Linked DNA regions of Callithrix jacchus. The protein of the gene in region 4 interacts with the protein of the main gene of each other region in a biochemical or structural test. Links are inferred from orthologs where the notes say so. Each region holds a gene or a part of one and is shown on either strand. Other genes may lie near its edges. The genes, in order: USP1, POLD1, CHAF1A, PCNA, POLL, RAD18 and KMT5A.

Region 1 (3,500 bases), on a different chromosome or scaffold from region 4:
TGCACACTCCAGCCTGGGCAACAGAGACTCTGTCTCAAAATAAAAAAAAAATAAGGTTGATTTGTCTATCCCATAAAATTAGTGCTATAATGCAACTTAGAAAAGCTAGTAAAGTGAGACAAAGACAAATGAAGAAGGCACTTAATTTGTTCACAAATAAAATTATTGGTTTGTGTGTTTCTTTCTTGACAGGGAAATTGCAAAGAAGATTCTTTGGCAAGTTATGAATTGATATGCAGTTTACAGTCCTTAATCATTTCGGTTGAACAGCTCCAGGCTAGTTTCCTCTTAAATCCAGAGAAATACACTGATGAACTTGCCACTCAGCCACGGCGACTGCTTAACACACTCAGGTATAGCCTATGATATAATTTTAGGGTTTCAATTTAGCTACTTGTTTATATCCTTGGAGGAGAATGATATGTGAACAAACAGAAATAAAGGGCAAGGAAAGTAAGAAACTCTAGGTCCACAGTCCTTTATATCCCAGAGGCTCTGAATACTGGAATTTTTTTTCATAAATTTGGTGCTAAATTCGTTAGATCTGAATATATTAGGCTTTTTATAGTCATTATTCATATTTATCTCTAATGTGAATATTCATACATCCTTCTATAGAAATAGGATCATGTTTAATTATAGAGTACTACCATATCATGTTGGTGATAAATATTTTACTTATACGTCGTATTATCTTTGAATCTGAAAATGTCTGAATTTCTAAATGCATGGTCCTCAGATTAGGAGTTATAGAACTATATTCAAAATATGTGTAAGAACCGTAAGTTCCAAATAATGTATTTTTGTTAATATGTGATTAGAGGAGAACTATTGGATAACTGGATTAGATTGCTTTTTGTTATTTTCTTAAAAATGAAACTTTATATATATAAAATAGCCTTATTCAAATAAAGTTATACTAATAGGGCAAGTCTTTAAAACAATCACTTAAGCATTTAGTTTAGAAATAGAACTAGGTGCAGTGTATTGCTACACCTTAGTTAAGAGGTATTGTAGGCTGGGCATAGTGGCTCACACCTGTCCCAGCACTTTGGGAGGCTGAAGTGGGTGGGTCATTTGAGGTCAGGAGTTCGAGACCAGTCTGGCCAACATGGTGAAAACCCACCTCTACTAAAAATAGAAAAATTGGCTGGGCATGGTGGTTCACACCTAAAGTCCCAGCTTCTTGGGAGGCTGAGGCAGGAGAATTGTTTGAACCCAGGAGGTGGAAGTTGCGGTGAGCCAGATTGCAACACTACAGTCCAGCCTGGGAGACAGAGCAAGTCTCCTGTCTCCAAAATAAAAAAGTATTATAACATGGTAACCAAGAGTGGGGTTTGACTACTGGCTTTTCATCCTAACTAGTTCTGTGACCTTGGGCAAGTTATTTAACCGCTGTGTGCCTCAGTGGCTATATCTATCTGACAATAGTGGTGGTGTAATAGTCCCTTATAGGGTACTATTGCTATTATGAAGATAATGTATATGTAGGAGATAAAGCATTTTGACTAAGACCTTGTATATGGTAAGCACTGTTAGTTATTAATATGTTTAGAAGAGGATCAAGTATATTAAATACATTATAAAATATATAAATATATTAAATATATTAATATATTTGGAAGAGGTTCAAAGTATTATAATGAAAAACAGATAAAATTTACTCTTTTAGTTTCAGGTAAGAAATTTCAAATTAGTGCTGAATGAGATTTAAAAATTAAATAATTTACAATATTCCTTACATGAATTCATTCCTATGTAGAAATAGTTTTATGTACTATATCTTTAAAACTAGAATAGATGAAATGGAAATTTTTATTTATAGGGAACTCAACCCTATGTATGAAGGATATCTACAGCATGATGCACAGGAAGTATTACAGTGTATTTTGGGAAACATTCAAGAAACATGCCAACTCCTAAAAAAAGAAGAAGTAAAAAATGTGGCAGAATTATCTACTAAGGTAGAAGAAATACCTCATCAGAAAGAGGAAATGAGTGGTATTAACAGCATGGAGATGGACAGTATGAGGCATTCTGAAGACTTTAAAGAAAAACTCCCAAAAGGAAATGGGAAAAGAAAAAGCGACACAGAATTTGGTAGCATGAAGAAAAAAGTTAAAGTATCCAAGGAACACCAGTCATTGGAAGAGAACCAGAGACAAACTAGATCAAAAAGAAAAGCTACAAGTGATACATTAGAGATTCCTCCTAAAGTAATTCCCAAGTATATTTCCGAAAATGAGAGTGCAAGAGCTTCACAAAAGAAATCAAGAGTTAAAATTAATTGGTTAAAGTCTGCAAATAAGCAACCCAGCATTCTTTCTAAATTCTGTAGTCTGGGAAAAATAACAACAAACCAAGGAGCTAAAGGACAATCTAAAGAAAATGAATATGATCCTGAAGAGGACTTGGGGAAGTGTGAAAGTGATAACACAGCTAATGGACTTGAATCTCCAGAAAATACTGTTATACCTGTAAATGTTAATGAAGTTAAACCCATAAACAAAGGTTAGTATAATTCTTAGACTTTGATAGGTAGGAGCATTAACAGCTATAGAATTAGAATTTTCTCTTCTTAGATACATATATAATATAATCTATGCATAAAATTGTTTCAAGAGAAGGAAATTTAACACTGAATGTGAACTATGGTGTTCTAAGTGCTATGCTTAAATTAGTGTGTGTGTGTATATATATATAATGTCATGAAAGTAATTTTAACTTACAGTTTATAAAGTAGGGAAGTTCAGCTGGGCCACGGTAGCTCACACCTGTAATCCCAGCACTTTGGGAGGCTGAGGCAGGTGGATCACCTGAGGTCAGGAGTTCAAGACTAGCCTGGTCAACATGGCGAAACCCCATCTCTACTAAGAATACAAAAATTAGCCAGGCATGGTGCATGCCTGTAGTCCCAGCTACTCAGGAGGCTGAGGCAGGAGAATGAGGCCGAGGTTGCAGTGAGTCAAGATTGTGCCACTGCACGGTAGCCTGGGTGACAGAGCAAGACTCTGTCTCAAAATAAAAAAGTAGGGAAGTTCAGTATATCTTAACGTACATTTAAAAGTACATTTCCCTTTATGCAGTGTTTGATGTAAACTCATGAAGGACATTGTATTCAGTGAAATATTTAAAGTAGAGACGAAGTACAGTCATGTTGCTTAACAACGGGGATATGTCTTGAGAAATGTGCTGTTTCATTGTGCGAATGTCACAGTTTACTTATACAACTAGACGGTAGAGCATACTACACAACTAGCCTATGTGGTATAGACCAGGGGTGTCTAATCTTTTGGCTTCCTTGGGCCACATAGGAAGAAGTGTCTTGGGCCACACACAAAATATACTAATGGTAGCTGATGAGCAAAAAAAAAAAAAAAATCACAAAAAAGTCTCATAGTGTTTTAAGAAAGTTTATGAATTTGTTATGGGCTGCAGGCAAGCTTTGAATGGCCTATTGCTGTTAGGTAACCTGTACATCATATAACTATAGTGAATAC
Region 2 (3,943 bases), on a different chromosome or scaffold from region 4:
CTGCATTGATTACTTGCATTGTCCAATTACTTGGGAGGCTGAAGTGGAAGGATCATTTGAGCCCGGGAGATGGAAGCTGCAGTGAGCTGTGTTCATGCTGCTGCACTCCAGCCTGCACAACAGAGCAAGACCCTATCTCAAAAAAACATACAGGTCGGGTGCGGTGGCTCATGCCTGTAATCCCAGCACTTTGGGAGGCTGAGGCAGGTGGATCACCTGAGGTCAGGAGTTCAAGACTAGCCTGACCAATATGGAGAAGCCCCGATTTTACTAAAAATACAAAATTAGCCAGGGATGGTGGTGTGCACCTGTAATCCCAGCTACTCTGGAGGCTGAGGCCTGAGAGTTACTTGAACCTGGGAGGTCGAGGTTGCAGTGAGCCAACATCAGGCCATTGCACTCCAGCCTGAGCAACAAGAGGAAAACTCCATCTCAAAAAATATATATATGAATAAAAACAAAGCTGTGAGATTGGGCGAGATTGGAAGAGGTCATCGAGGGAATGAGCGAGTGTCTTGCTCATCAAGAAAACCAGCATCTGGCCTGCAGTGAGCATGTAGTGTCGTTTTATTGCTGACTCTCTGTTAAGTGCTTGCTCGTGAGAGAGGGCAGAGGCCAGTGTTTGCCAAGCTCTCATCCTGTGCCAGGGCACATGAGAGGGGGTACACGGGGGCCTTTCCTTCCTAATACTGCTCTCCTTCCAGTCTGTACCAACAAGAGCCTGGGTTTTGCGCCTGCTGACACCGTCCCTCCTACCACACCCCTGTAGCCACAGCCAACTGACCTCGGGCAGCCAGTCAGCCCCTTCCTTCCTCCGGGTCCGGCAGTGACTCTGGGCTCCCACAAGCCCCTGCACTTCCTCTGTCCCAGCCGGGTCTCTCCCTGCAGGTCATCACTCCCTGTCCGTCTCTGGCTGCTTACACAGCCGGAGCAAGGGCCACTAACTGAGCTTGCTTCTTCCTGTGAGATAAGTCACTCATGTACACAGTTGTCACCCGAAGAACGCAAACGCGGAGTCAGTTCAAGTCTTCCTCATACGAAACCCCCCGCACACATTCACGGGTGCTCCACTCACGAACAGTGGAAACAAGCCACCCTGATGTCCATCTGCCGATGAGCGGATACGTAAAACGTGTTCTGGCCATACGGTGGAAAAGTACTCAGCAAAAAAGGAACGCAGCTCTGCTTCCAGGCCACCACGCGCATGAACGATGAACGCATTCAGAGAAAGCAGCCAGACACCAAAGGCTGCAGATTCCAAGATCCCATTTATAGGAAATGCCCAGAATAGGCCAATCCATGGAGACAGAAAGTAAGATGGGTGGTTGCCAGGGGTGGGGGCAGATGGGCTGAATCGGGGGAGCTAACGGAGGTAGGGTTTTCGGGGTGATGAAAGAGTCCTAAAATTGATTGTGGTGACGACTGCCTAACTGAACATACTAAATACCATTGAACTATATATACTTACTTTAAAGGGGTGAATTGTATAGTATGCGAATCACAGCTCAGAAAAGCAGTTACCAAATGGAGGCTTCTTCCACCCCGTCCCCTGGAAACCAGTTTCTTAGCTCTCCTTGCAGAACAATGCATTCAAAGCAAACTGATTTATACCTAGTCTCTGCGTTAAAAGCAAAATGATTTATACGTACTCTTCTGCCCACCTTGTCAAATTGTTACTATTTCCATTTTATATATTTCCCTCTTAATATTTTGAAAAGTTTGAAACCTGCAGAGAAGGTACAGATTAAGCACAGTGAACAGGCTGTCGGCGCGACACCTCCTTTGCTTTATCCAAGCACACACATAGACTTGTGCTTTTGTCCTTTTTTGAGATGGAGTCTCGCTGTCTCGCCCAGGCTGCAGTGCAGTGGCACAATCTCGGCTCACTGCAACCTCTGCCTCCTGGGTTCAAGCAATTCTCCTGCCTCAGCCTCCCGAGTAGTTGTGATTACAGGTGTGTGCCACCGCACCCGGCTAATCTTTGTGTTTTTAGTAGAGACGGGGTTTCACCATGTTGGCCAGGATGGTCTGGATCTCCTGACCTTGTGATCCACCTGCTTTGACTTCCCAAAGTGCTGGGATTACAGGCGTGAGCCACCGCACCCAGCCCCTTCTGTCCTTTTCTTGGCTGAACTACTGAAAGCTGTGGTCATCGTGATACGTCACCTCTGAAAGATCTAGCAGTTGACACCTTTTTTGGTACAAGAACTCACTCTGTCATGCAGGCTGTAATGCAGTGGTGTGGTCACAGCTCACTGCAGCCTTGACCTCCCCAGGCTCAGCTGATCCTCAGCCTCCCAAGTATCTGGGACTAAAGGTGAATGCCACTGCACCCTGCTAATTTCTGTATTCTTTTATAGAGACAGGGTTTCACCGTGTTGCCTAGGCTAATCTGAAACTCCTGGGCTCGAGCAATCCCCTCCTCGGCCTCCAAATGTCCTGGGATTACAGCCGAGAGCCACCGTGCCTGGCCTCCAGCAGTCAGCTCTTAAGAACAAGATGTCCAACCGCACAACTACAGTGTCGTCATCGTCACGCAGTTTAACGTGACACGGTGACGTCATCCAATAGACAGTCTTTATTTAGATCTGCCCCGTGTTCCTGTAATAGTCTTCAAAGCTATTAATAATTTCTTTTTTTTTGAGACTGTGTCTCACTCTGTTGTCCAGGCCGGAGTGCAGCGGCACGATTTCCGCTTGCTGCAACCTCTGCCTCCCGGGTTCAAGCAATTCTGCCTCAGCCTCCTGAGTAGCTGGGACTATAGGCACACACAACCAAGCCCGGCTACTTTTTTTTTTGTATTTTTAGTAGAGACGGGGTTTCGTGTTGGCCAGGCTAGTCTCGAACTCCTGACCTCAGGTGATCCGCCTGCCTCAGCCTCCCAAAGTGCTGAGATTACAAGCATGAGCCACCGCACCCAGCCCATAATTTCTTTTTTTTTTTTAATCCAAGTTCTAACCTAGGATCACACACATTTAGCTGTCACAGCAACTTTTTCTTTCCTCTTTTTGAGACAGGGTCTTGCTCTATCATTCACCAGTACAGTGGTGCAATCACGGCTCACTGCAGCCTTCACCTCCCAGGCTCAAGTGATCCTCCCACCTCAGCGTCCGAGTAGCTGGAACTATACATATGCACCACCATGCTTAACTAATTTTTAAATTTTTTGTAGAAATTGGGTCTTACCATGTTGCTTGGGCTAGTTTCTAACTCCTGGCCTCGAGTGACCATCCCACCTCAGCCTCCCAAAGTGCTGGGATTACAGATGTGAGCCCCTAGCCCAGGCGACTTTCTTCTTCATGACAGTGACAGTCTTAAAGGTTTCAGCGCAGTATTGTCACCCTGCACTTTGGATTGGTTTGTTTCTTTGTTTTTGTTGCTTGTTTTTTTTTTTTGACTGTTGTTGTTTGGTTTTTTTTTGTGACAGAGTCTTGCTCTGTCACCCAGGCTGGAGTGCAGTAGCATGATCTTGGCTCACTGCAACCTCCACCTCCCAGGTTCAGGCGATTCTCCTGCCTCAGCCTCCCGAGTAGCTGGGCTTACAGCTGCCCACCACCATGCACAGCTAATTTTTGTATTTTACTGGAGACGGGGTTTCACCATGTTGGTCAGGCTGGTCTCAAACTCCAGACCTCAAGTGCTCTGCCTGCCTCAGCCTCCCAAAGTGCTGGGATTACAGGTATGAGCCACTGTGCCCCAGTGATTCGTTTCCTAATGACTAGAATCAGGGTAAACATTTTCTTAGACCTTTTTTTCAACCCAAAAGATAAAACTCTGAGTGCACCTTTGTGCACCTTGCTTTAGCTACTGAACAGTGCCTCTTTGAGAACCTTCCCTATCAGTACACAAGGAGCTTCCTCATTTCTTTACACAGCTGCATAGTATTCCATGGAACGGACTTAACATAACTTATTTAAACAGCCCCCTAGGGAAGGACAGTTAG
Region 3 (3,500 bases), on a different chromosome or scaffold from region 4:
CATCCACTCGACTGTTTTAAGTCATCAAACTCAACACTCACGATGCACACGTCTTGGTGCATGCTGACTGTACGCCCGATAGAGTGGTTTCCAGCCTTCTAACCTACAGGCTACGGCCATGCTCCCTCACCAGTGTCTGCTCACTTGCAATTTCCTCTTATGTTTACCACCCTCCCGAGTGATGCTAAGTTCAGGCCATTCCGACAAGTGAGCTTGCATGCTGGGAACACAGTTCAAATCGCGTATGGCTGGGTGGGGACTCCTGTCACCCTCCCAGGTCACGCCACTGACCACCAGTCTGTGAATGAGCTTTTTCTGAGCCAGTGACCTCCCTTTCACTCCCTCACCTCTGTCACACCTTCATCCTCAGACAGGTACCCATGGGGCACAAAGAAACCATCGTCGTCATCTTCATCCTCTCCCATGTCGTCGTCATCATCCTCAAAAGGAGAACAAATGAGTTCATCAGATGGAAAAGCAGAGTGTGCATCTACGGTGGCTCACGCCTCTAATCTCAGTTCTTTGGAAGGCCAAGGTAGGTGGATCACTTGAGCTCAAGAGTTCAACACCAGCCTGGCTAACATGGTGAAACACCATCTCTACTAAAAATACGAATTTTAGTGAGGCCTACTTTACACAGGAACTGGATGCAAGGTATAAAAAAAAAAAAAGAAAAAATACGAATTTTAGTTGGGCACCTGTAATCCCAGCTCCTAGAGAGGCTGGGGCAGGAGAATCACTTGAACCCAGAAGGCAGAGGTTGCAGTGAACCAAGATGGCGCCACTGCACTCCAGCCCGGGTGATAAAGCAAGACTGTCTTAGACCAAAAAAGGAAAAGCTGTGAACATCTGTCTGGCATGGCCTTCTGACGGACAGTGAGCAATCAGCAGAAAGCCACCAAGTCACAGCAGCTGTGCCATCAGGTGGAAGTGGTGAGTCACAGGCTGGCAGGAGATGAGATGGAGCTGCAGGGCCACGGTGCAGATGCGAACAGGATCCTACCCCAGGCAGCCACACAGGCGAGTGTCGCCAGGGTGAGATTTTTCAAGCGAAGCTGGAAGTGTGGATGTTAAGGGAGATTTGGGTTTTAGACCACACAGCAGGCCAAACAAAAGCTGTCCGTGAGTGAACACAGCTGGGGTATGTCCTTACCCCTTCACTATGGGACAGGGACTCCCCAGGCTCCTCTTCTTCCCACTCCTCATCGCTGTCTACCTCATAGTCGAGGAGCTTCTGAGAAAAGAAACACACGGGACTCACGACTGCCTTCGGGGCTAGAGGGATGGGGCACAGCGAGGAGGTACAGGGACGGAGGCCTGCTCGGGCCCGCTCACCGTGTCCTGGGCCCAGGGGTCTCGGGCACGGATGAGCGCTGTCTTTTTGTTCCAGGTCCCCCAGTAGGCTGGCCGGTGGTTCTCGCAGAACTGCAGGAGCTTCATCCTGCCGAACTTCCTCCTCTCAGGAACACCGTCGCCCTTCCCAGGCTCCACAATCACGACATCACTAAGGAAAACTCTGGGCTCAGGATCGGGCTGCCCTAGACTTGCTCACACACCTCCCAGGGACCTCCCAGTGAAGCTGGCTGACAATTCCAGAAAGTTGGGAGACTGTAAAAACCAGCACTACCTGTCCCCAAAGAAAGGCCAGGAATGTGGACTCAAGGGACAGAGGGAGGAGGGTACAGCCTGCAGGAGGAGAGGGAATAAGGCTGCCCAGGTTCAGCCCAGAGCATTTTTAGCAAGGGGAGTTCAATGGAGCCAGGAAATCTGCAAGAGCAGGGGGTGTCCTTCACTGGAGCCCAGCAGGGAAATAAGATTCCTCCAGGAGGGGCTGGGAAGACAGAAAAAGGAAAACTTCAGGGGCTCACAGCGAGGCCAGGTGGAGGGACTCCTGAGCCAGCAGAAGGCAAGCAGCAGAAGGCCCCAGAGCTCCTGCCTCGGGAACCCAGGGTTCGGGCAGCTGCCCTCCAGCATCACTAGTGGGCAAAGGCCAACCTCCTTGGGCTCTGACCTGTTGAAAATGTCTGCGTTCTGGGTGGAAACCTGAGTGGGTCCGGACCTCAGAGGCTGCCGGCCTTTGAGGTCTTTCAAGAAGGATAATTCTCCGTTCTGCTGCTGAAGGAGCTCGTCTAGCTGACTGCAGAGGTCTGGGTCGAAAACAGTCCGACACTGAGGGGCCAGGACCATGTGCTCTTTAATTTCAAAGGGGGCAAACTTTCCACAGGAGCCGGCAAGGGTCTGAAATAAAGAAGAGACCCAGTGGGGTCTTCAAGCAATGGGAGAAAGAGGCCACCATGGACACACACAGCAGGGTGCTGGTGCGATTCACCAGGCTAAGGGCAAGGCGCAGACTCAAAAGCCCAGGCACTATGTAGATCCACAGAGCCGAGTTTCCAGAGCTATAGGATGGAGGTCAGATTGGGAGTCTCAAGGGACAGGATGTGGGGACAGACAAAAAGGGAGCGTTTTGAGTGATGGAAACAGTGTGTATCTTCATTATGGTTAGCTGGCCCCGTAATCTGTCAATATGAAAGTCCTGAAAAGCATGTGTTTTATTGCATGTAAATTATATCTCAACAAACCTTGCTTAAAAAAAAAAAAAAAAGGGCCAGCACAGTAGCTCAGGACTGTAATCCCAGCACTCTGGGAGGCCAAAGACAGTGGATCACCTAAGGTCAGGAGTTCAAGACCAGCCTGGACAACATGGTGAAATCCTGTCTCTACAAAAAAATAAAAAACTTAGCAAGGGGTGGTGGTGGGCACCTGTAGTCCCACTATTAGGGAGGCTGAGGCAGAAGAATCACTTGAACCCAGGAGGTGGAGGGTGCACTGAGCCAACATGGTGCCACTGCACCCCAGCCTGGGCGAGAGTGAGACTCCGTCTCAAAAGAAAAAAAAATAATTTAGAGACAGGGTCTTACCGTGTCGCCCAGGCTGGTCTCCAACTGCTCTGTTTTTCTGAGATGGAATCTCGCTTTATCATGCAGCCTGGAGTGCACTGGCATGATCTTGGCTCACTGCAACCCGCTCCTCCCGAATTCAAGGGATTCTCCTGCCTCAGTCTCATGAGTAGCTAGGATTATAGGTGCCCACCACCACGCTCAGTTAATTTCTGTATTTTTACTGGAGACAAGATTTCACCATGTTGGCCAGGCTGGTCTCGAACTCCTGACTTCAGGTGATCCACTTGCCTTGGCCTCCCCAAGTGCTGGGATTACAGTCGTGAGCCACTGCACAAGGCCAAAAGGAGAAATTTCTGTATAACAAAAGACTCTGTAAACAAAGACGTAGTAGACTGAGATGAAATATCAGAGGATTAAATACCAGACTGTAAAAAATACTTGTATTACAGATCAGGCCAAAAAAAAGAGTCAGTTCTGTTAAAAAAAAAAAATAGGTAAAAAATAGGAATTGGCAAGTCACAGAAGAACTAAAATGGGAAACCAACACAAAAAAATGCTCCACTGCACCAAGAGTCAAGTAAAAATGGAAAGTAAAAT
Region 4 (4,191 bases):
AACTCCGTCTCAAAAAAAATAAAATAAAATAAAAAAATAAAGGTCAGCATACTTGGAATATATTCAGACAAGTTAGATGTAGCACTCAGACTAAGTGCTAGAGTGGTGCAAGGTGAGGTTGCATCTGGAGTAAGAGTGGTGCAAGGTGAGGTTTCGGTGAGGTTGCAGAGAGGCTGGGGTGAACTCTTGCAGGACTTTGTAGGCTCTGTAAAAGTGCAAGCGAACGTTGTCAACAGCAGGTCTTTGATATGATCCAATTTACATTTTAAGAGGATACTTTAACATCTAGTAAATGTACTATTGAATCAGTAAAGAATCAATTAAGTAAATTTTGATCAGATATTAAACTATTAGAAAATAATAAAAGCAGCTGGGCACAGTGGCACACACCTGTAATCCCAGCACTTTGGGAGGCCAAGGTGGGCAGATTACTTGAGGTCAGGAGTTCCAGACCAGCCTGATCAACAAAGTGAATCTCTGTCTCTACTGAAAATACAAAAATTAGCTGGGTGTGGTGGCACACACCTGTAATCCCAGCTACTTGGGAGGCTGAGGCACAAATTGCTTGAACCTGGGAGGCAGAGGTTACAGTGAACCAAAATTGCGACACTCCCCTCCAGCCTGGGCAACAGGGCAAGACTATGTTTCAAAAAAAAAAAAAAAATGTTTCTTACAGAATGATGATGATGACTGACAATTTTTTTTTTTTTTTGGAGATGGAGTCTTGCTCTGTCACCAGGCTGGCGTGCAGTGGTGCCATCTCAGATCACTGCAACCTCTGCCTCCCGGGTTCAAGCAATTCTCCTGCCTCAGCCTCTCGAGTAGCTGGAACTACAGGTGTGTGCCACCATGCCTAGCTAATTTTTGAATGTTTTAGTAGAGTCGGGGTTTCACCATGTAGGTCAGGATGGTCTTGATCTTGTGATCTGCCCGCCACAGCCTCCTAAAGTGCTGGGATTACAGGTGTGAGCCACCATGCCCCGCCCGATGATTATTATTTTTGAGAAAGGTTCTCACTTTGTCATCCAGGCTGAGGTACAGTAGCATGAGCTCACCTCACCACAGCTTTGACCTGGGCTCAGGTGATCCTCCCACCTCAGCCTTCCAAGTGGCTGGGACTACAGGTGAACACCACCAAGCCCAGCTAATATTTTGGAGAGATAGGGTTTCACCATATTGCCTAGGCTGGTCTCAAACTCTTGGGCTCAAATGATCCTCCCACCTTTGCCTCCCAAAGTGCTGGGGTTACAGACATGAGCCACCGTGCCTGGCCTCTTACAGAATTATTAATAATTCCCCCAGAAATTGGACATAACCTTAAGGTCTAACAGTGTTTGCATTTGTTAGGTAAATTGTGATAAATCTGTAAGATGGAATATTGTTTAGCCTCTAACGTACGATTTGCAAAGAGCTTAATAAAGAGAAAAATCACGTTATGAAGCAGAATAAACAAAGGTATTCCAATTTTCTCAAATTGTTATATCTGGGTGTATGTGTACAGTAAATGGAATGGAAAAGCAAGAAGATAAATATGAACAGTAATTATCTGGCTGATGGTGCCACAAATAATTTTAAATTTTTCTTGCATTTTCTGTATTTTCTATACTTTTTTCAGTAAAAATGTATTGGTCAGAAAATGAATACTGGGAGAAAATGCTATAAATTATTTTATGTAGTATCTGGCAAATTTCTTCATAAGGTAATATGTATCAGAATTATTCTCAATCCTGGCTGCACTCTAGACTCACCTGGGGAGCTTTAAAAAAGCCTATTCCACTTGGCCCTCCCCCAGAAATTTAGTTACTTTAGGATGGCCCCTCCATCAATAATTTTAGCAGCCGTCAAAGTAAATCATTTTTTGTTTGAGATGGAATGTCACTCTGTCACCTAGGCTGGAGTGCAAGTGGCGTGACCTCCGCACACTGGAACCTCTGCCTCCCAGGTTCAAGCGATTCTCCTGCCTCAGCCATCTGAGTAGCTGAGATTACAGGCTCCCGCCACCATGGCCAGCTAATTTTTGTATTTCTGGTAGCGATGGGGTTTCACTATGTTGGCCAGCCTGGCTCAAAATTATTGAGCCTTTCCATAGTCCAGAAGACAAATTTTAGAAAGTGAGGAAGGGCTCGGTGCAGTGGCTCACGCCTGTAATCCCAACACTTTGGGAGGCCAAGATGGGCGGATCATCTGAAGTCAGCAGTTCAAGACCAGCCTGATATGGTGAAACCCTGTCTCTACTAAAAATACAAAAATTGGCCGGGCGTGGTGGCGAGCGCCTGTAGTCCCGGCTCCTCGGAAGGCTGAGACAGAATTGCTTGAACCCGGGAGGAGGAGGCTGCAGTGAGCTGAGATAGTGGGCGACAGAGCGAGACTCTGTCTCAATAATAAATAAATAAATAAACTGAGGAAGATCTCAACTGCAAAATGCAAATCATACTCACTTCCAAGCCATGTGTGGATTAAATGAGATAAGCCAACTAAAGCGATTACCCAGCTCAGTGCCTAGTATACAGTTAGCGCTCAACAAGTACTAGAGACCGCTTGGCAAAGCAAGGCAGATTGAAGTGTGGGTTCCACTTCTCATCATGTGATAAGCGATAATGCTTTTAATCAGGTCGGCTCACCTGGCCTCTCCATTCGGCCTAAATAACGTCTACTTACTTGCGTGAAGAAAGAGCCCTTGCTGCTGCGGGCTCAGAGCCCAGGTCAGCAAGTATTTGTCAGGCTAGAGCCTCCGGGTGGCGCCTCTCGCCGTCGGTAATCCGTTACCTCCAGAACCAGGGCGCCAGCTTCAGCCATCTGCATTGAAGCAGGAGCTCCCATTGGCTAATCGGACTCTGAAACGCACGCCTATTCCCGCCCCTGACGCTGCCGTCCAATGCGAGCCTCTCAACTCTGCTCCGCCCCGCCCCCGTCTCCCTGTCCCTGGCGTATTTGCGCCGTTGGTCGATCTTTCGGGTCGTGATGGCGGCGCTGCGCGTGCGCACTCGCTCCGAGCCCGCCTCCGGGGAGGAGGAGCTCGCGGGCCGGGGCCAGGGAAGGCAGACCCTGCTCCGCCCGGGTGAAAGGGCCGTGACGGCGCTGGGCGGGGCCGAGCTCCAGGGCTGGCTGCTGGGCTGCTAAGGGAACTGTGAGCTGTTCGGAGCCGCGCGACTCCCGGGCGGGGCGGGGCCGGCCGAGGGAGTCCGCGCGTGCCCGCGCTGAGCTGCCTTTCCTGGCTGCTGCGCTGCTCGCCCGCGGCGACGTCGGGCAGGTTTTTCCAGGATGACCGAGCTGAGGCAGAGGGTGGCCCACGAGCCGGATGCGCCGCCCGAGGACAAGGTAGCGGCAGCCTCGGGGTGGGCGCGGCCGGGACAGCGGCGCATCCAGGAGGCCCGGTGGGGACGCGCGCAGGGGGGTCCTCTAGTCCTCTGATCCCTTGTCGTGGCGGACGGCGGCCCCGGGCAGCGCGATGGGTCCTCGGGTGCCTAGCCTTTGCTGCGCGCATGTCAAGGGTTGGCGGGTCGGAGTCCCGGCTCAGGGTCTGGCTGGAGTGGCTCCCCTGGGGCGCAGGAAGGAGCTCGCCTGGAGTGGCGCACGGCCTCCTGCCTCGCTGGGCTGACTGCGGGACCCCCCTCTCCCCCTACCTCCCTGAGGCCTTCCTGGAGGTGAAGATGTGCAGAGCTTTCTCAGATAGGCGGCTCCTCTGACCGCGACTTAGGCTCTCCGTTCCCTTTTGCAATGTTATTATTTTGGGGGGTGTCGGAATCGGGACAAGGCCATAGCATTTGCCTCCTGGCATATGTAAATCCCTTCTTGGACAGGAAATCATCGGCTTTGAGCAGAGAGGTGTGTTACGCAGTGAGCCACCCCGTCATCAGCAGGTGTTGGAGGGAGTCCTCCCAGTTGATGGGTTGTTTCCTGTGCCGTATGGGTTCTGGTGAGTAGGGGAGGAGAGTAGGAAGGAGGCCATCTTGGCGGGGACAGCGGCTGGGGGGTGACGGGTGTGGGAGTAGATTCCTTTGGGTGAAGTGAAAGGTCTGTGTAGGGGAGTTGAGGAAGGTAGGGAGTAGTTGTATTACTGTGGACATTGAATGGCAGCATAGGACTTTGTAGTTGTAGTTGTGCTTTCCGAGATAGCAGTGGTCAGGAGTCCTGTATTTGGAAAACTGATCTGGCAGTGATGTGTAGAATGGATTGAGGGAGCTTGGACTA
Region 5 (4,210 bases), on a different chromosome or scaffold from region 4:
ATGCCTGGCTAATTTTTTAATTAATGGTAGTTATTTTTAACAATTTAAGAAGAGAGCTCAAGATGCTACTAGAAACATTTGAAAAAAAGACTGGGATCAGCCCACCTACTAGGGATGAAGATGCTGAATCCAGCTACATCCACCAGCCTCCTCTCCTGAAGGCACAAGCTCAGCCAGGCTGACTTCACCAGTTGAGCACCCTGGGGCAGCTGGGGTAATCTAAGAAGGCGGAGGGCCCGCTCATAGTCCATGCCATCATCCACCACAATGTGAGTGACACCTGGGGCCTGGGCAGGGCATAGCTGGCCACCATGCTGGACAATCTGCTTCTCAAAGAGTTCTGCCCGTGCTCGTCCAATGCCAGTGCGTACAACATGGGCCCGAAGGGAGCTCAGCCACTCTGTGGAAGGAATATCCAGATGACTACTGTCGTAACATTTTTATTTTTATCTGCCACCCCCTGGCTACAACATAACATCTAACATGATCTGAATGAAGTGTTTACAGTCTCCTACCCTGAAAATAAGCATTTCCCTTCCATCCAGTTTCCCTTCTACATATAGCAAATTTTCTCACAGGCCAGCACTTGAATGTAAGAGACAAAAAAAAAAATTTTTTTTTTTTGAGATGGAGTCTCACTCTGTTGCCCAGCCTGGAATGCAATGGTGTGATCTCAGCTCAGTGCAACCTCCGCCTCCTGGGTTCAAGTGATTCTCCTGCCTCAGCCTCCCGAGTAGCTGGGATTACAGGCATGCACCACCATGCCTAGCTAATTTTTGTATTTTTAGTAGAGACGGGGTTTCACCATGTTGGCCAGGGTGGTCTCGATCTCTTGACCTCATGATCTGCCCACCTTGATCTTCCAAAGTATTGGGATTACAGGCATGAGCCACCTCGCCCACCCGGGACAAGGATACATCCTGTTTCCTGGTGCAACCTAGAAGTGTCTGGCACATTGTAAGTAACCTGCAAATATCTGTTGAATTAATGCCTCCTCCCGTCTTACTTTGTTTGTTTTTGTTTTTTTTGAGATAGGCTCACTCTGTCGCCCAGGCAGGAGTGCATGCAGTAGCATGATCTCAGCTCACTGCAACCTCCATCTTCCAGGTTCAAGCAATTCTCGTGCCTTGGCCTCCCAAGTAGCTGGGATTACAGGTGTGTGCCACCATACCTGGCTAATTTTTTGTATTTTTAGCAGAGACGGGATTTTGCCATGTTGCCCAGGCTGGTCTCACACTCCTGAGCTCGGGTGATCTGCCTGCCTCAGCCTCCCAAAGTGCTGGGATTACATGCATGAGCCGCCACACTCCGCTTCCCTCCTTACTTTGAATCCCTTACCATTTATTCTTTCAACAAAGCACATATTTCTTGCCATTACATGTTTCTTGCCCTTACAGTCTGCCAGACCTGACAATCCTGTCCCCAAAGCCTCTGCCATTTATTTGTCAATTTGCCTGCAAAACAACTAACATCAAACCTGGGTAATGGAGGGGATTTCTGCTTGTCCCCCAAGGCAAAAATTCTACTGGTCATTCCCTGAGAGTCCAGGGAGTCCTTTCTGATTTATAGAGGTCTTTGGGTAGAAAAGAAGATAACACAGCAAATGGCCTGTCCAAGACCCAGGACCAAGCTTAGTACAAAGCAGGTACAAACAGACCTGCAAGCCCTGGACAGGCAAAGTCAGCTCCAATATCTGATTCTGGACATGAACAACGTAGGGCTGAAGCACATGAAGGCTGAGGGTTCAAGGGAATGAGGGTTCTGAGGGTCGGTTAACTCACCTTCTGCTTCTTCTCCCTCTTCCCTCCTGGGAATCTTTGCAAGTACTTTTGATGATGCATCGGCATGAATTTTCTTCCGCTTGGGAAATGCCTTCAAGATACCCCTGGGATCCATTGAAGTACGGCTAGATCTCGGTCTGTCAGAGGGTTGACCAGGGCAGCTGTCATGTGGAAATTCAAAATTCATGCTCTCCAACCTATTTGCCTGTGGAGGTAGGGTGTTCCCTGACTAGGCCTTAGGGATAGCAGCCCAGTTCGGGGAGACAGTGCTGGGGGGGGGTCTCCTCAAACCCCATTAAACTTCACTGGTGTAGCCTAGCTTCCCACTCCCCAGCCTTTCAAAGTATTAGTCTTTCGGAGTATTAGGGGGAAATGAGAAGACTGGGACCATTGGGGGTACTTTTGAGGAGCAGGAAACAACACCATTCCTCACTGGGGTTGCTCTAAAGATTCAGCACAGCCCTACTGCTGCAGCCCCCTTCTGAAGGGCTTTACCAAAATGGGATACTGGGCTAGGGAGTGGAGCGGAGACTGGGGAGAACCTGCACCATAAACCCCACATAATCTTTCTCTACCTTCAACACAGTTGCAGAGGAAAACCTAAGGAGGGGGACTTTCGGGGGTGAGTGGGAACGCCCTGCACCTGCCCTGGTCTCAGCCTCTCGGCACGGGGGTGCTCAGCCCCACAGCTGCGGGGAGATAGGGCACGGCCGCAGCAGGTGTGAGGCACCCTCCGGATTGGAGGAGTCTCAGTCTCGCAGCTGGGGATGGAGAAGACCCGGGCAGGTGTGCTGTACCCGACGCGTACGCAGCTGGCGCAGGCCGGGGAATCCCAGCTCCGGGCTAGAGGAAAGCTGCAGCGCCCGACCCAGGCTCCAAGAGTCCCTCTCCAACCCCCGAAGTCGGTCCCCGGGTGGGTTAGACAACTGGCCAAGCTGATCATTCGCAGGTGGGCAGGAATAAATCACTTACCAGGAGAGCCAATGAGAGCGGACGAAGGGGGAAAAGCGAGCAAATGCCCAGAATAGCTTCCGAGTCAGCCGGAAGTGACCCTCAGTGGAACGGTTGCCATGGCAGCGGCCGGGCGCGCTGCTTGGCAGAGGAAAGATGGCGGTGACGGGATGGTTGGAGAGTCTGCGGACGGCCGAGAAGACTGCGCTGCTGCAGGATGGTAACTCGAGAGCCCTCGCGAGCTCCCTCGTTTTTTCCCCCCAGGGTCCACCCCACAGGAAAGGCCTCAGGGTCTGCAGAGCTGAAAGGGTCTCGGCAGTCAGCTGGGCCAGGTCCCTGCATTTGTAGATGAGGAGACTGAGGCTCAGAGATGACGTGACTGGAACACAGGTCTCCGGACACCGATTAGATTCCTCTACACCAACTCGCTCTGCTTTGAGTTTGTTGCTAATATAATAATTTCTTTCACATTCATTATCTCATTTGCTCCTCACCACTGTCCTGAGAGGTTAATTTTTCACCCCGTTTTACAGAAGAGGAAACTGAACTCCAAGAATGCTTCAGACTTTAGAGAGGAAAGAGGCCTGGGCTGTAGTTCCGACTCTGCCATTAATTCACCACGGGCTCTTCAGCCCTTTAATTTGTTTGGACCTCACTTTCATCGTCTGTAAAATGAAGTGGATGGGCTACCACTGAGGCCCTTTCCAGCTGTAATATTTTTGTAAAGTGAACGTCTTTTTTTTTTTTTAAAGACGGGGTTTCACCATGTTGGTCAGTCTGGTATTGAACTCCCGACCTCAGGTGATCCGCCCGTCTTGGCCTCCAAAGTGCTTGGATTACAGGCGTGAGCCACTACTCCCGGCCTAAAGTGAACCTCTTAATGTTTTCTGTGTCTTTAGGAGAGCTAGAGCAAGGACCAAGGGCTGTGCCTGGAAGAGGTGGGCACAGGGGCATGGATACCTAACTTTTTGCCACCCTAGGATTGGCCGATGTCGCCCCTCTGTGCACTTGGGTCCTTTCTGGACCCACTGGGGAGCCAGGTTGAATTGGGTCTGAAGTTCCTGAGGTTTCGAAGATAACAGCAGGTGATTCACATTCACAGGTAGAGGCCAGTCAAGGCAGCCTAAAGTTGGTGGAAATTAAAATCATTTGCCCTTTAGTGCAACATTTAGGGAGGCTTTTACTATGTGCCAAGCTCTAAACTTGAACTGAAAGAAAAAGATATGTTGTCCCAGGACTTACAGTGGTTGGGAAAAACATGTATGCAAATAATAAGATGTGCTAAATAGAGGTGTAATCTTGTATAAAATGGTAGGAAATAATGAAAGTGTATATGATACCTCTTTGGGGAAAGACCCAAGAGAAGTGATGATGTTTCTGGGTCCTAAATAATTAATAAGGGCAGGCACAGTGGCTCATGCCCATAATTCCAACACTCTGGGAGGCCAAGGCAGGCGGATCATTTGAGCTCAGGAGTT
Region 6 (4,210 bases), on a different chromosome or scaffold from region 4:
TATAAAGTCCACAGCATCAGTACCCCAATTTTAAAAACAAAGCCTTCAGAGTTCCTAGGTTGGCTGAATCAAACCCAAGAAGTTGACTCCACAATGATCCCAAATTTTAAATGCGTAAAAACTGAAGGAAAATAAGGTAAAATGTTAAACACTGGTTCTCTGGGTGGTAGGATTACAGATGATTTTCTTTTTCACCTTTATCTTACTCTGAATTTTAATTTTTTTCTACTGTGTACACCTATTACATTTACAATATGCCAAAAAGAGTCCAATTTTGCTAAAATAAAACCAGGGAAATAATAAAATGCCAAAATCTTCCATTATTGTGGATGGTAAGCTGTCACAGACACAAAAATCTAGAGGGTTAATGTTAAAGATCAATTAAGATCAGAGGCAGGCCCAGAAGCCGGAACCAGTCTGTCATACCACTCTTTCTTATCTATGCCATTCTCTTCGGTGGAGTAATGATTCAGAAAGATCTGCAGAGCACAATTTGTGGAAGTTGACACTCCATAAGATGAGCTATTTCGGGTTCAAATTTCTGGTCATGTCTCTCCAAGACTGTAATATGCGTATCACATGTGCCTCAACCAACCAAACAAAAAACGATGCCTGAATAGAGAGTGGTCAGCAGACACCCCAAAATGTCTTTAGTTTAGAGAGAGAGAAAGTGAAAGGGAGTAGAAAATGGGTAGAAAAACATAATACTTACAAAAATACCCAAGTTTTTGGGGTTACAGATCCCTTTGAAAATTAGATGAAAACTATGGACTCTATTCTCAGAAAAACATATATACGAAAATTCTACAAATAACTTGAGACTCCGAAGTCTTTCTACGGATCCTAAGTCAGGAACCATGCATTCTGAGTCAGACTTCTATTAGAAGTAACTTTAGTCAGATCCACTTCTGGGATCTGATAGTTCTTTGTCCCTGGAAGAGTTCAAGCAAAAATTAGGTGAGAAATTGGCAGATATGTTATAAAAGAGTTTAAAATAATGAAGGAGGCTGGTTTCCAAACCTTAAGATTCTATGATTCTAATGTGAGCAAAAAATATGGGCTCAATCAACTCTCTGGTTGAACAATCACTGAACACTCTGTGGTATCAAACTCTATATTCAGTGCCGTGGTGAGATACCAAAGTCAGAGAAGACATGGAACCTGCCTCTAAAGAACACTGAAATTGTGGGAATATGTAAAATATGCTTAAATCTACAAAGCAGGAGCTTTACAGGTTACAGAGTTCTTTTACTTTCCTTATCCAAATCAAGCTTCATGACAACAAATTAAAAGGGGAGAGAAGCACTTAGCACAGTGCTAATAATAGTAATAAAATATATTCATTGAATGCTTACTACATTCCAGATACTTTCAATCAAGCAGCAAATAATACTTGAGCACTCACTTTCTGTCAGGCACCGCATCAAGCACAATGAATAAGCCTGCAGAATCTGCACCCACACACATGAACTCATTTATTTAATCAACCCTATGAACTGTTTATTTTTGTCTCTAATTTATAGTTGAAGAAATTCAGGCTCAGAGAGGTTATGTTACTAACTGAAGGTCACACAGCTAAGAGGCAGAGATCAGATTTCACCCAGGACCACTAGAATTCAAATCTGTGCTCTTTTCCACGGCATCTTGGTGCCAAGCCCATCACAACTTCGAAACCACCGCTTTCCTGGATCCTTTCACAATGTCAGCTTCTCGTCATGCAGATATCTCAAGTCCCCAAGACCTCTAAATATCACGGATGACAGCAGGAAGAACAAGGCCTTATACTTATTTTAGCCTTCACTTAATTCTAAAGTCAACTTTATGAGCCAGTGGGACAGATACTATAATCCCCAAGACTACAAAACTGAGGAAGAGAAAAAGGCTATCTTAGCCACTGTCAGAAACAAAAATAATCACAGAGCAAAAAGAAACACCAAACAACTGACTTTTAGCCAGCACGGGAATGTGCATCTGCTCTTGAGCAAATCCAGGGACCACCACTACGTAAATGGAAACTGTTGCCTTGCCAAAACAGAAAGTGGCTACAAAAATAAGTGTTATTTAACTGAAATAATTCGATGCAATGAAAGATGACTGCTGAATCTTGATCTTTGTTTAAAAGACAGAGAGATGAGCAATTGTTACAGAAGAGATAGGACGTGTGAGGGAGGAGCTGGGGCAGTATGTCGGTACAAACCAGCAGTAGGTTTATTGAGAATAATCAGAAGAGCCTGTAAAGGAGACTACCTGCTTGGCTACGTGATTACATACATGTTACTTGATAAAGTGTCCACCCAAAATCATGTCCGGTGTCACTGTTTAGTGCTTGACACAAAGTAAGCTTTCAGTGAAGGTTAGCTGACAATGTCATTGTTTAGAACAGCTGTTTTTCTCCATGTTACTGTTCGGATTGGATCGCAGAATATCTGGTTCCATTAGACTGTCAACCTCAGCTCACCAAGCTTGTCCTTGTCACTTATCAAAGGAGTAAACTGAGACCCAGAGCCACGCGGTCGGCTAGTGACAGAGCAGAGCCGGGTACTATGGCCCAGTGCGACTCTCGCGCCTCATTTTTTCTCCTCAAGGCGAGGACATCCTCCTCAAAGGGAGGGACCGCCCCCCGCAGGCACCCGGGAGCCCCCAACCTCCCCGAAGCACTCACCTTCATAACTGCCAGGCCCGGCGGCCACCGAGGCTCGGTTAGGGAGTCCATGGTCGCTCCTGAAGATGCTGGGGTCTACCACTCAACTAGCCTCCGGCGCTCCAATACCACTCGAAATTCCCCGCGCTATCGCATTACGTCACAACCCGCGACGCGCCAGAGGCGGGCGCGGAGCCTGCCGGAAATTGTAGTAGGATGTGGGCGGGGCGCTGCTGATGGTGCTTGTACTGCGCCTGCGCTAGGCTATGTCCGCTACTGTGTAATATCTCTCCCATATTACAACACTGGGAGGTAGGTGTTATCATTGTCAGTTTACACAAGCGGAAACTACTCCGGAAAAGCTGAATAGAGTTTCGAGTCAGATTCGAAACAGGACCTCTGGAGTTTAAATAGGAGCTCTTCCTTTTAATCATATTAAAATTTTAATGTACAGTTTTTCTTCAGAGAGAAGCACTATTAACTTCGGCATATAGCCTTCCAGATATTTCCTATGCAAATTGGCAAAGATTCTTGGCTTGACCAAACTTTAGTCAGGCTCCTGAACCTTCTCCTAGGCCAATCTGTGTACTTCGTGATAAAATCCAGTTTTAGCAAAGAACTCTGCTAAATCAAGTTAGCAATATCCCCACCCTTGAATCCTTGCCCTTGATATTCCCACCAAGTTAGCAAGAATCTGGGAAGGGACATTTCGGAATCCATATAGGCTCATGGCAAAATCCGAATATCCCACAATAAAAACTAGAAACCAGCTATCTGAAAATGCCTTGCAATGTGTGGATTCTCACACAGTTGAAACCTCTGTTTTGATTCAGTAGGTTGGAAACACTCTTTTTGTAGAATCTAGGAAGGGACATTTTGGAGCCCATTGAGGCTTAAGATGAAGAACACGCCCCACGTGGTCCATGCACTGATTCATTTCACAAATATTTTCTGAATGCTTACAACGGGCCAGGCACTTGAGCTTTCTTGGGAAGCAGGCAGAGATTAGACTGTTATGGCCATCTTACAAATGAGGACACTGAGGCTCAGAAAGCTTAAGACTTCACTCCTCTGAGTTCTCTTCATAAGAACCCTCTAGTCTCTTAGCCAAAGCTGTATTCAATTGATTTTTCCCAGCTTGCACCCAAATACTTACTGGGCAGTAATATTAATACTAATAGCATTTAGAGAAAGGACTTTAGACTTTGGAGGCTGAGGCGGGTGGATCACAAGGTCAAGAGATCAAGACCATCCTGGTCAACATGGTGAAACCCCGTCTCTACTAAAAATACAAAAAATCAGCTGGGCATGGTGGCGCGTGCCTGTAATCCCAGCTACTCAGGAGGCTGAGGCAGGAGAATTGCCTGAACCCAGGAGGCGGAGGCTGCAGTGAGCCAAGATCGCGCCATTGCACTCCAGCCTGGGTAAGAAGAGCGAAACTCCGTCTCAAAAAAAAGAGAAAGGACTTTAGTATCCATTACAGTAGTAGCTGGCATTTATTAGGCACGTGTATGCAAAACACCATTCTAAGTTTTTTACACATATGCACTTATTTGACTTATTCACAAG
Region 7 (3,500 bases), on a different chromosome or scaffold from region 4:
AGGCTGGGCACGGTGGCTCACACCTGTAACCCTAGCACTTTGGGTTGGAAGGCCAAGTGGAAGGCCAAGGTGGTTGGATCATCTGAGATCAGGAGTTCAAGACCAGGCTGGCCAACATGACAAAACCCCATCTCTACTAAGTAAAATACCATACAGAATCAGGAGTTCCTGGCCCTTTGGGCTCTCCTCACTGCCCAGAAGACAGAAAAGCCACTCAAAGCAACAGTAGACTTACCAGTAGGTTTTGCTCAGATACTGAAAATAGTACATGTAGCAGCCCGTGGAAGGGTCCTGTGCGTACAGAGCCTCCCGCTTCTTAGCGTCAGTGATCTCAATGAGGTCCCCGTGGTATTCCACCACAAAGTCACCCCGAGAGAACTGCTTTGTGGCAATCACACCCCTGCCTTTGCCATCGATGAGGTCAATCTGTCAGGAGGTGATAAGAGAGGCTGTTGGCTCATAACAGCAATGGATGCCACCACGCACAGCAGGCCTCTGGAGAGCTGAGGGCTGATACCAGTCTTTCACAGCTGTACTGAGCTGTACCATAAAACTCACTTGCTTTACACGTACAGGTTGATGGGCTGTTTGAGATGGGTACATAGCTGTGCAACTGTCACTACAATCCAGCTCTAGAACATTTCTGTCACCCCACAGACTTGGTTCCTTGGTACTCATCTGCAAAGCACTGTTACATCAGAGCTCATGAGAGATCTGCTGGATGGAGACTGCCTCATTTTGTAGATGAGGAAACTGAGGCTTAGAGGGGCAGAGCCACGTGTCTGAGGCCCCACAGCTAGGCAGTGACATAGCAGGGACTCAAATCCACACTTGGTTTCTCTGCCTAGGGGCTGTGCTCTATGCCTTCCTAGGTGAACAGCAGGCCCAGTGTTCTGGGTCTGTGCCTCGCTCCACGATTTCTCTCCTGTGTCTCCTCATTCTATTCTACATGGAGTCAGAGGGGGTTGCTGGAGGGGTCCAGGACTTAAGCGGGGGTCCCCCTAAGTGGTGGGTGGAAGTGGAAGGTTTCTGAGCCCTAAGCCCTAATCCAGGCCTATCTGAGCCCCACTGTAGAGAGTTCCTTTCCTCTCACCCAAACTGGGTATGCTTGAAATGCAGTAAGAGAAAAGCACATTTCTTGGGCATTGTCATTATCTAGGAAAACAGAGTTTAAAAATTTATTAGTTTCTCCTTTTAAAAGTTTCCCCAGGCTTCAGCTACACATTGTATAGTCCCATTTATATAAAGTGTCCAGAAGAGCAACTCCACAGAGACAGAAAGCAGCTGAGTGGCTGCCAGGGGATGGGCGAGGGAGATTCGGGGATGGTGGGCAGTAATGGGAGGATGAAAAAGTTCTGAAATTTGACAGGGATGGTGGTTGCATTGCATTGTGAATGTACAAAAAGCCACTAAATTGTTTAACCACAATTTCTAAGAAAAGTTTCCCCTAAATAACATTTATATACAAGGCCCATTTATGTTTCCTTCATAAGGTTTTTCCTTAATGAGTTTTAGTGTTTGGCTCTTTCACAACCTAGTAAGAGTCTGACTGGTCCCCATGGCCATTAGAGGGTTAAAGCCACGTGGTGGCCACTCTCAGCCGAGGGACCAGGGAAGGCGAGTCTTCCAGCTTTAGCCATGATGCAGCCAGCACAGCAGCCCCTTACCTTCATTCCTTCTTCCTTCCCACTTTCAATCAATTCATCTATTCTTTTCCTTTCTTCAGACTGGGTAGAGAGAAAGAAAAATAGCATCAGCATCCTCTCCCAAGCCCATCGTGGGTAGCTTGAAGGCCTTGAGCCCTCATTGCCTAGGCCATACCCACCGGGTCACCATCGGCCTCATTTGGCATCATTGTGGATGATGGGTACCCAGTGATGCCAAAGCCCCCAAGTATCCCTTCTTTTCTCATCATCCATCTGTGTGGATGATCTGGGGTTCAACTAGATCAGGAAGGAAACAGTGGGGACCCAAGAACAGAATGGGGCTTGTAGATATGTTCTTTGCCCATGCAGCATGTTGTAAAATGTCCAACTTGCCCAAGTTTGAAAATCAGGTACAGCAGATCAGAGGCTGTGCCCTTTGGATGGGACACAGGCAGTCCACATCCCTCCATTCTGACGGCCCCTACTGCTGTCCATTTAGGATCGCTGAGCTTCACCTGTATAGAAGCTACCACCATGAATAAAAAGAGGACCTCCAATCCAGAGGGTCAATACAGCCCCGAACAGAGAACCAGGAGGAGGAGGCACTCCCAGATTCACCTCTCCTCGAAGGCCAACCCTCCTGTACCTACTTCCATCCCTAACCCTGGGTTCCACTACTCTGCCATCACACAGACACTATGAAACAAAAGGGAACCAAATGAAGACAGACCAGAAGCTCCAAACCAGTGTGGCTCCCCCCAAACCAGCATGTCTCGCTAGCACAGACTGTCACCAAACCAGATGGCACATGTCGAGAGCCCAGCACCAACTGCTGAGCTCAGCCCATTCCCCTACACAGAGGCCCAAACCAGCTTGCAGCAATCTGTGCTGGGAACCATGGTGAATGAGCAACATCAAGGGCAGTCCCAAACCCTGCCATCTCCTCTCCATCTCCATTCTCACTGCTGCCCTGAGCCCAGCCACCGCACCTCTCTAGTCACCGGGCTTCCACTCTGACCTCAGGGAACACTCAGTTCTCCACACAGCAGTCAGTGGCCTCTTTAAATTGTAAATGAGGCCAGGTGTGGTGGCTCTCTCCTGCAATCCCAACACTTTGGGAGGTCCAAGAGGAAGGATGGCTTAAGGACAGGAGTTAGAGACCAGCCTGAGCAACATATCCCGACACTGTCCCTACAAAAAATAAACAAGCTGGGTGTGATGGCACATACCTGTGGTCCCAGCTACTCTAGAAGCTGAGGAAGGAGAATTGCTGGAGCCCAGGAGGTTGAGGCTGCAGTGAGCCATGATTGCACCACTGCACTCCAGCCTGGGCAACAGAGTGAGACCCTGTCTTAAAAAAACAAAAACATGACTAGTCATGGTGGCTCACATCTGTAATCCTAGCACTTTGGGAGCTGAGGTGGGTGGATCACTTGAGGTCAGGAGTTCAAAGACCAGTCTGGCCAACATGGCAAAACCCACCTCTACTAAAAACACAAAAATTAGCTGGGTGGGTGACTGTAATTACAGCTACACGGGAGGCTGAGGCAGGAGAATCACTTAAACGCCGGGGTAGAGGTTGCAGTAGGCCAAGATTGCGCCACTATACCCTGGGAGACAGACTGAGTCTCAAAAAAAAAAAAAACCTTCCCAAAAACTTACTTAATAGTAATATACCTGATAAAACCTCACATATCAATATTAACCTTCAACATAAATGGATTAAATGTTCCACTTAAGAGATATGGAAGGGTCAAGAAGGTTAAAAAAAAAAAGAAAGATACACATATTGGTGGAATGGATTAAAAAAACAAAACTTGGCCGGGCGCGGTGGCTCAAGCCTGTAACCCCAGC

What was found.
Region 1: of the proteins of PCNA (region 4) and USP1, one has a biochemical effect on the other in vitro, tested with the Homo sapiens proteins (6 studies listed by BioGRID, with this or other methods). The link is inferred for Callithrix jacchus from reciprocal best matches to the Homo sapiens genes PCNA and USP1.
Region 2: the proteins of PCNA (region 4) and POLD1 form a complex in vitro, tested with the Homo sapiens proteins (4 studies listed by BioGRID, with this or other methods). The link is inferred for Callithrix jacchus from reciprocal best matches to the Homo sapiens genes PCNA and POLD1.
Region 3: the proteins of PCNA (region 4) and CHAF1A form a complex in vitro, tested with the Homo sapiens proteins (4 studies listed by BioGRID and IntAct). The link is inferred for Callithrix jacchus from reciprocal best matches to the Homo sapiens genes PCNA and CHAF1A.
Region 5: the proteins of PCNA (region 4) and POLL form a complex in vitro, tested with the Homo sapiens proteins (3 studies listed by BioGRID). The link is inferred for Callithrix jacchus from reciprocal best matches to the Homo sapiens genes PCNA and POLL.
Region 6: of the proteins of PCNA (region 4) and RAD18, one has a biochemical effect on the other in vitro, tested with the Homo sapiens proteins (21 studies listed by BioGRID, with this or other methods). The link is inferred for Callithrix jacchus from reciprocal best matches to the Homo sapiens genes PCNA and RAD18.
Region 7: the proteins of PCNA (region 4) and KMT5A form a complex in vitro, tested with the Homo sapiens proteins (4 studies listed by BioGRID, with this or other methods). The link is inferred for Callithrix jacchus from reciprocal best matches to the Homo sapiens genes PCNA and KMT5A.

What each region holds. Positions count from the first base shown.
Region 1 is NC_133508.1:99,537,403-99,540,902, forward strand, and holds part of USP1 (ubiquitin carboxyl-terminal hydrolase 1), read left to right. Parts: intron 1-192; coding exon 193-353; intron 354-1,825; coding exon 1,826-2,511; intron 2,512-3,500. UniProt on the Homo sapiens protein: Negative regulator of DNA damage repair which specifically deubiquitinates monoubiquitinated FANCD2. Also involved in PCNA-mediated translesion synthesis (TLS) by deubiquitinating monoubiquitinated PCNA.
Region 2 is NC_133523.1:44,036,275-44,040,217, forward strand, and holds the start of POLD1 (DNA polymerase delta catalytic subunit), read left to right. Parts: upstream 1-1,143; 5' UTR 1,144-1,211; coding exon 1,212-1,312; intron 1,313-3,943. UniProt on the Homo sapiens protein: As the catalytic component of the trimeric (Pol-delta3 complex) and tetrameric DNA polymerase delta complexes (Pol-delta4 complex), plays a crucial role in high fidelity genome replication, including in lagging strand synthesis, and repair.
Region 3 is NC_133523.1:4,178,129-4,181,628, reverse strand, and holds part of CHAF1A (chromatin assembly factor 1 subunit A), read right to left. Parts: intron 2,239-3,500; coding exon 2,012-2,238; intron 1,505-2,011; coding exon 1,336-1,504; intron 1,235-1,335; coding exon 1,154-1,234; intron 441-1,153; coding exon 348-440; intron 1-347. UniProt on the Homo sapiens protein: Acts as a component of the histone chaperone complex chromatin assembly factor 1 (CAF-1), which assembles histone octamers onto DNA during replication and repair.
Region 4 is NC_133506.1:12,558,577-12,562,767, forward strand, and holds the start of PCNA (proliferating cell nuclear antigen), read right to left. Parts: upstream 2,801-4,191; 5' UTR 2,659-2,800; intron 206-2,658; exon of another isoform or gene 53-205; intron 1-52. UniProt on the Homo sapiens protein: Auxiliary protein of DNA polymerase delta and epsilon, is involved in the control of eukaryotic DNA replication by increasing the polymerase's processibility during elongation of the leading strand.
Region 5 is NC_133513.1:94,542,999-94,547,208, forward strand, and holds the start of POLL (DNA polymerase lambda), read right to left. Parts: upstream 2,801-4,210; 5' UTR 2,725-2,800; coding exon 2,579-2,724; exon of another isoform or gene 2,357-2,578; intron 1,987-2,356; exon of another isoform or gene 1,969-1,986; coding exon of another isoform or gene 1,943-1,968; coding exon 1,782-1,942; intron 401-1,781; coding exon 106-400; intron 1-105. Other genes in the region: protein DPCD, read left to right, coding at 2,889-2,952.
Region 6 is NC_133516.1:66,167,892-66,172,101, forward strand, and holds the start of RAD18 (E3 ubiquitin-protein ligase RAD18), read right to left. Parts: upstream 2,801-4,210; 5' UTR 2,714-2,800; coding exon 2,663-2,713; intron 1-2,662. UniProt on the Homo sapiens protein: E3 ubiquitin-protein ligase involved in postreplication repair of UV-damaged DNA. Postreplication repair functions in gap-filling of a daughter strand on replication of damaged DNA.
Region 7 is NC_133510.1:126,589,766-126,593,265, reverse strand, and holds part of KMT5A (N-lysine methyltransferase KMT5A), read right to left. Parts: intron 1,728-3,500; coding exon 1,668-1,727; intron 427-1,667; coding exon 236-426; intron 1-235. UniProt on the Homo sapiens protein: Protein-lysine N-methyltransferase that monomethylates both histones and non-histone proteins. Specifically monomethylates 'Lys-20' of histone H4 (H4K20me1).